Linked DNA regions of Danio rerio. The protein of the gene in region 2 interacts with the protein of the main gene of each other region in a biochemical or structural test. Links are inferred from orthologs where the notes say so. Each region holds a gene or a part of one and is shown on either strand. Other genes may lie near its edges.

What was found.
Region 1: of the proteins of mettl22 (region 2) and kin, one has a biochemical effect on the other in vitro, tested with the Homo sapiens proteins (2 studies listed by BioGRID). The link is inferred for Danio rerio from reciprocal best matches to the Homo sapiens genes METTL22 and KIN.

What each region holds. Positions count from the first base shown.
Region 1 is NC_133179.1:25,832,370-25,836,557, reverse strand, and holds the start of kin (DNA/RNA-binding protein KIN17), read right to left. Parts: upstream 2,811-4,188; 5' UTR 2,625-2,810; coding exon 2,511-2,624; intron 1,135-2,510; coding exon 1,040-1,134; intron 954-1,039; coding exon 910-953; intron 816-909; coding exon 693-815; intron 1-692. UniProt on the Homo sapiens protein: Involved in DNA replication and the cellular response to DNA damage. May participate in DNA replication factories and create a bridge between DNA replication and repair mediated by high molecular weight complexes.
Region 2 is NC_133178.1:26,655,288-26,659,320, forward strand, and holds the start of mettl22 (methyltransferase-like protein 22), read right to left. Parts: upstream 2,808-4,033; 5' UTR 2,732-2,807; intron 2,351-2,731; 5' UTR 2,314-2,350; coding exon 2,208-2,313; intron 1-2,207. UniProt on the Homo sapiens protein: Protein N-lysine methyltransferase. Trimethylates KIN at Lys-135 (in vitro).

The DNA.
Region 1 (4,188 bases), on a different chromosome or scaffold from region 2:
ATGGCTATACTATGTTAATGCAACAGATTTTTTTAAATGGCAAAGCAATGATTGTAGAATGCGTTTTAGGCATATGCTGTCCTCTCGTAAATTTGTCTTTTTTGTGACTATTTGTCTATTTTTGGAAGACTTAAATGAGTTGACTTTGTATCGACTAGCTTCACTTGCTATGGCTATGTCTGAGGGTTTTGGTCACTTTAGATCATCTCACAATCTTGCAAAGTCAGTGAAACAGTAAAACCAAGCACTTTTAGCTTAGCTTAGCATAGATCATTGAATCGGATTAGACCATTAGCACCTGTCAAAAATGACAGAATTATAAATATAAAAAAATTGCAACATGTAATTTTCTGTCAGCCGTAGTACACAACGTAACAACAGAAGAGTTGAGCTTGAAAAAGTAAAATTATCAAAACTCTTTGGTCTTTTTTGATGCTAATGGTCTAATCAGATTCAATGATCTATGCTAAGCTAAGCTAAAAGTGTTCTCACCAGACCTGGAGATGAGTTAAATGGATAGAAAATGGTAAAACAAGGTTGTTTAACTCTAGTTGACTTGTAAAAATTATCCAAAAAGAGTGGATTTGTGTTTTAATACTAAAATAAAGTACAATTTAGATCTCCACTGTAATGTTACACATACAGTACATGGGACACTGCTTTTTTTTAAATACAGTATTTAAGATGCTTGCCTTCTCTCCCAAGCCATTTGGTGAAGTCGGTGAGGGTCTCCCACTGTGTAGCATTCATATGAACGTGTTCTCGATGACTGATGTACTCGTTATACACAATGTTATTGTGAACTCGTTTGGTCCCTGAAAGAACAAACACAAGCCATCTTAGCCTAAACTGACAAAACATGCACAAAATAAAGAAGTTTATATAAATAATAACAATGCAATAACTTACCAAAGCGTCTTCGGAGCAGTTCTAAGAAGTCAGTTTTGAACTCGCTGTAAATTCAGAATTTAGAATTAAACTCTATTTCAATGATAGCTGGATAAATTGATGGATATGGATAAATAGTGTGTTTACTTACTCTGAAAAGTAGCTCAAGAACTGGTTGGGGTTCTCAGAAGCTAACAGCAGCTGTCTCTGATGAGACTCAGACATGCAGTGACATTTAAACCCGTTCTGCAGTCAAGAGAGATCATGTTAGATCGCAATATTTATATAATCAAAGAGAAGTCATAGGCTCTGTTCTTTGTACCTCACTCAAAACATCTTATGTTATGATTATTTGAGACATCACAATTTTTCTTTAAATCATGATAACTGATCTCTGGCTAATTTGTTTCTTCATTGTGAATTAAATTAAAATATCTGGATTAATATCTGAGATTGCCACACATGCTCGTGTTTGTGAAGGACAGATATATTGATCCTCAGCAAGTGTAATAATGACATCTAATTAAAATTGGCAATGTGAGCAAAATGACTAAAAGGAAAGATTTAGCAGCCTAAGAAAAAAGTAGCATATCTGCTGACCTAAAGGCAATTTTGACTGAAATGTATAGCAGAAGTCTTTGATCCACGAAGAACATGTTTAAAAAAATTGCTTGAACTTTTTTTCTTAAAATTAAATAAATATATTTAGACCAATCAATATTTTCCATTCCTAATTTGAATATATTTGTATTTTCTTAAAAGTGGTATTACTCACTTTTACTTTCATATTTTAATTTAATAATTATTTACATTTATTTTAAAAATCTCTCATTTTATTGAGAAATGATCTGTCTCTCTCTTTCTCTCTCTCTCTCTCTCTCTCTCTCTCTATGGGTTTTTAAAAATGCTTAGCAGGTTATTACAAATGGCACAATAGAGTAAATAAATGTATTTAAATTTAAATGACAAAAAGATAAGAGCAAATTTGTTTTATATGTTGATGATTTCCAGTAAAACGGTAAGTAGCTCTCTATTTTGAGATGCAATCAGTAATGCCAAAATTCTTTCTAGATAACATAAGGCTGAGACCTCAAATGTTCTCCTCAAAATGTTGCCAAGGTATGGACCACAGAAACTGATCAAACAAAGCTATTTCTACGTTTTAAAGAGATATTACAGCCCAAAATGAAAAATCTTTAATGTTTAATGTCCCTTCACTTGTTCCACGCCTGTTTGAGTATCTTTTTTCTGTTGAAAACAAAAAACATATTTTAAAGCAAGAAAGAAAACATGCAACCATTGAAATTCATAGTGTTTTTCTACTAACGTTAAGGAAATCTATGGCTAAAGATTTTCAGCTTTCTTCAAAATATCTTTTTTCGTGTTTAACAGAAGAATGAACTGTTAAAGGTTTATAATAGCTTGAGGGTGAGTCAGTAGAGTTATATTTAATTTTGGGGGGAACTATCCCTTTAAGACAGTGGCTAAAATACTGTACATAAAGGCTAAAAGCAGTATTATAAAACCTATAATTAAGGTTTTTAGGTTTAAGAATTTAAGAAAACAAGTTAATAAATAAAATTAGTGTGTCTAAAGAACACGACACAATCACATAAACTTACTTCATCTCTGCATTGTTTCTGACACATCTGACAATACCAGCGGAGCTTCTGAAGGCCTTTGGCTTTGATTCTGTTCGCGATCGCTTTAGGGGTTAAGAAATCCGCTTTCCCCATTTCAAAAACTAAAAAAGATCACAATAAGTACTGTAAAAATAACAACTCTTCCAATGTACAAGTCCTTTCCCTCTTCCTTGCGTTCTGACGCGAATTCCTCGTTTTGAAATATGCGTTTTTCGTCACGGATTGGTGTGTACCTCTGATGCCGCGAGATTACACACTAGTACGCGTTTCTGCGCTTTTATTTGCGCCTGCGCAGACCGGCTGCTCTGACCTTCATTGAAGTGAACATGTTCGCCAGGACCAGCGCGGCGGTGTTCCTCCCACAATGGTAAGAATTTACTCATTTATATTAAAACATGTTTTTGCTGGAATAAGCATTTATCTTGCGTGCATACATAAAGAACTCAAGCTGTTTCTAATTGAGCAGTGAAACGCAGCTGAAGCGGAGCAAGGACGCACTGATCTTTAGGCCGCGCTTTGCTTAACGTTAAGCCTAATGACAGCGCCAGACTTGACATTTACACGTTTTCATAGCTGTAATAACTACTACATATGCATTAAAAACCTTTTTATATGTTTGTTTATTAAGTAGTTGAAATGAAATAAATGCTATCGTGTCAGGAAATGTTAACTGTAGTGGTATGTTGTTTTCCCGTGTCTGCAATGCATTCTGTGTCATTCAATAGAAGTCAAATTTACTGATGCATTATTGTCCTGACTGAGGTATTATATTGTTTATTTGTTGATGAGATTAACACTTATTAATTTTCTTTTGCAGTGGGCAGGTCAGGAACATGGCAACCTTGAAGGACAGTAAGTAAAGTTTTCTTTTGCACTATAAAAGGTCATTTTTATTATCTTTATGTCGGCAGTTTTTGGAAATATTTATGGCTTTCTGTAAATTTTAATAAGCAGTGTATTGATCTAACTTAAATATAATTTAGTAAGAAAAGTCATGACATTTAAAATGATGTATGCATTACGAAAACAAAAAACAATAAAAATGTACACTTACTCTGTCTAATATAAATATTTAAACCTTCAAGATACAATTAAACTACTTTTAAGATACAAATTCGAAAGATCAAGTCTGTAGAGTTGGTTTAAAGGTATAGTTCACCCCAAAATGAAAATTACCTTTTTTTATTCTCCCTCATGTGCCTTTAAATGTTTGCACTGAACACAAAATAAGATGAGAGTTTGAAGAATGCTGGTTGATGGGACCTAATAACTTCCATAGTATGACAAAAATACTATGGAAGCCTACAGTTTCCAGCACCTAGCATTTTTCAAAGCATAATTTTTTTTACGTTCAAAAGAGGAAAGTTGTATAAACTCCCTTTAAAACAAGTACAATAATATAAGTGGGGCTTGGAAATTGGTTAAGTTGATTTTTTTCAGTTGTTCATTTTGGTCAATTTGACCCATCTCATAGGTTTTTGTCTTATTAAATTAAGAAACTTTTGAAAATTGTGCTAAAAAGATGCATTTGTTAAAATAGATGACTTTTTGATAAAATTTGCATTTAGGTTGCTGCTATGTTTTTTTTGTAAAATGCATTAAGAATGAACTTTGTATTTAGCCAAAACGTACAAATTAACTGTCCATTGAAACTGGT
Region 2 (4,033 bases):
TTTTTTCCAACATAAATTAAAAAAAAACCTAAATGTATGCATTATATTATAACAGTCTGCTATAGAATTAGTTATGAATATAGTTTTGCTAAACGTTTTATTGAGATGTTGGAGATTTGATGCGTGTTGGAGCGATTGGGTAGCTTAGCTTTACACAAATAAAAGAAAATTAAGGCCCGTTTAAAAGGATTGAAGACTTACAAGACAATATTTCAGTGAATTTAAAACTTTCTAAGGCCTACAATTTTGTTTTTTTTAAATGTAAGAATTTAACCCCACGGACACCCTGTGGGCAGACTTTATCTTATCTCCATGGTTACTATAATGGTAGACTTAAAGTGAAGTTGACTTCAACTGACTGACACTTTTCTTTGCAATGTAGCTGCTTATGTCCATGTCTCACCTGAGTCTTGCACAGTATGCCTCACTGGTAAATTTCAACAAAGCATTACTTTATTTTGGAGGTGATTCAATTATTGGTGGGGATATTTTAAAAATCTGTGGATATTGGTGGGGACACGCCTCCTCTATCCATGCTAATTCTACACCCTTTGCTTGAACAAACTTGTGCAACATCATAAGGTTTATTGCATTTTCCAGATTTTCTACAGATATAAAAAGTAACTTGGCTGTCTGACTCTGAGGCAAAATTTCCTCCAGTGCATTTCAAATACATCCAATGGGTTTCAGGTCAAGTGGTGGCCAATTCATTTGTGAATATGCTTATTCTTTCACAATTTAAATCTTTGCATTGTCATCCAAGAAAATGGCGCATTTAGACATGGTTGTTTAAGAAACAGAAATCTACATGCAGCATCTATATAAAAGAATGGTTGGGAAACATACAAGTTCACAAAAAAAAAACAACAACACTCAAGTGGAATTAAACCAGGGCCAGAGTGGGATTCTTTTTTAGCCCTGGAGTTTCAAGCCTTAGACCGGCCCACCTCAGTTCACAAATAACTATATTAAAATAACGTAATTTCCAATTCAGTTTCTAATGACACTATCACATCTTTTTCAAGGAAACAGCTGTTTTAGAACTTCACATTTTTTTCATAAATATGAGAACATTAAAGGGTAGCTAAATCTCCAACACTATTCTTTAAAACATCACAATGTCCTTTCCTGCAATTTCTGAATATATATTCTGTGCAAAATTCTTTATAGATATCCAGTCCTTTGTAACGGTGGTCACACAAAAAAATAAAAATAAAATATGTACACCTATATAAGTAACAAAAACAGTATTATATGACTTAACACTAAAAATGAAAAAATAAAATAAAAAATTACCCAGGTGAGGTTCGAACTCAGGTCAGTGACGCCGTAACGCAACATGCTGACCACTGGACCACAAGATGCTGTTACACTGCTGCATTTGGAATAAAAAATTAATATTGCACTGCCATCTGATCTGAATCTTTTTCTCTACTTTTTAGATTTCAGATCAAGTTATGTCAGATTTATTAATGCAGTGAATCATCTGATTTATATCAAACAGGTGTAATATTCATTAATATTAATTATTCGAATTCTTATATTCACTAAGGTGCCGCTATTTGGGGTCGAGTGATAGTTACGTCATCGTTAACCTGCAGGCTGCACTTAACTCACGGGGCTGCGAGAAAATATATAAAAAGAGTGGAGCTGCGGCAAAATAATGATTAAAAGGAGTGAGGCTATGGTCAAATAAATAAATAAATAAACCCCAGCCAAAAAATGGACCGGCCCACCGGGAATTCCATTGGATTCATTAGCCAATACAGGCCTGAATTAAACATTCATGAATGAACACAAGACAAAATATTCTGAAGAATGATGAAAACCAGCAACCATTGACATTAACAGTAGGAACAAAATATAGTTTGGAAGACATCAGTAGCTGATGCTTTACAAAATTCTTCAATATATCTTAGTAAGGGTTAAACAGAATAATGTCTGAAACAAATGGAGGAAGAGTAAATGACAGAATTTTTTATTTTTGGGTGAACTATCATTTTAATTACAGCAACAAAGGCTAAGTACTTGCTCAAACTGTGACTTTCTGGTGCAAGTTGGGGGTCGTTTGGTTGAGTAGTATGATCATATTTAGGGGTCAATAACATAAAAAAATATATATATATAAAAAAAAACATGCCGTAAACACTAACTATTAATTCTGCATATAACCAATAAGATGCTTATGTGTCTTAGGCTTTTCTTACCAGGCTGTCCCACACCGTTGAGTCTCTTCATGAGATGGCGAGTGTTTGGTAGCAGCAGATGGACATCAGACAGAACGGTGTCACTTCTAAATGTGACCTGGTCCATGATCGTCCCTGCATGGTACTCTATCAAGGATGCTGTTCTGAAAAACAAGACAATTTTATTCAAAGTGCTTAAAAAAACAATAATTCCTATGTGCAATGATAGTTTTTAAATTATCTGTCATTCTACACAAATACAAAACTATTTTATAGACTATTTTAAGACAGAACTACGATACAGGCAAGAACAAAATAGTCTGGACAATGATTAACAGTTTTGTTTGGGCTTGAATGAAAGCTTTAGGATTCTTGACCGAGTAACGTAGAAATATTAAAGTGGGCGTGACCATACAAACTCAGAAAGCCACTTTCTCGTCGTTTATTATTAACCTTCAGAGTTAATCGAGAAGATAAACAGAAATACTACTTAATTTGTTGTTAAGAAAGTAATTCATTCCGTATAAGACGTTAAATGAACTCACTAGATCCTGACATGTAAGTTTACAGTTTCTTCATAGCGTCACCTTGCAGTTTTCTGATCAGCTCAGGGGGCAAAGAGCAGCAGATATCTACAAAGAACATATTGTTAATGAGGATGAGTAGACGTACTTTTGATATTGTTGTCGAGTGCATTAAATTGTACTAAAATATGAGCGTAGCGATATTCGGAGCTACCTTATATAAAGGTTATACTGCAGCTTGTGAGAGGTTAGACTAGCAGTGTTACATTAAGAGCAGACCGTGTAGGAACCGTCACTATGAAAATAGTTCCGAAACAGAACGCGCTTGACTCTGATGTGAAAATATGGTAATTTTGTTTATATTATTATTTTTTATTTTTATTTAATAAATATTTGTTTGTTATTCAGTAATACTTATTTTTGTTCAAAATGATAATACAGAACTCTGTAGATGAATCAGCTTTAACGAACGATTTGACGACCCCGTACCCAACAAACACATTTACGTTGTAGCGATGTCCGCACAACGTTGTATTTTTTTAAAGGCAACGTTGCCGCTTACGTGCTCGCTACATTGTCACAACGTAGAAATGTAAGACGTGAGAAGGCTGTAGCAACGTTGTCGTGCGACATTCAGCAACCGCGAGGCGGCGTTCTTACTACTTGTATTAATATTTTTTGGGCCTAGAATACAGGATAAGCAGCAATTCTTTTCCAGTATTGCTTAATATGAAATATTGTTCATTTATTTTTCCTATTTAATTTAACAACTGCATGTGTAAACTTTAAAGTGTAAAAATGCCACACAAATTAATAATCAAACTTTTTATTATATATTTCACAACATTTAATACATACAGTACACATACAGTATCTAATTATAAGCAAACAGTATAAAATAAAGTTTAGATTATATATATATATATATATATATATATATATATATATATATATATATATATATATAAAATCTAAACTTTTATATATATATATATATATATATATATATATATATATATATATATATATATATATATATATACTACATACATACATACATTAAACTAAAGGGTAAACAAACAAGAAAAGTAAACAAGAAGTCATTAAAATGTAAATAAATATATAAATATATAAATAAATATATAAATTAAAATTCAAACACTGGGCAGTGAAACTCTGGACTGGAGAATACAGCAGACCGGGGAGCGCAGCTGAAGACCAGTTGTAGTTGTTGGTATGGAGAAAGCAGTCAGAGGAAGAAACAAATTCAACGGATAATCCAGCTTCAGAGATCCACACCCAGACAGCACACATACGTTGGGC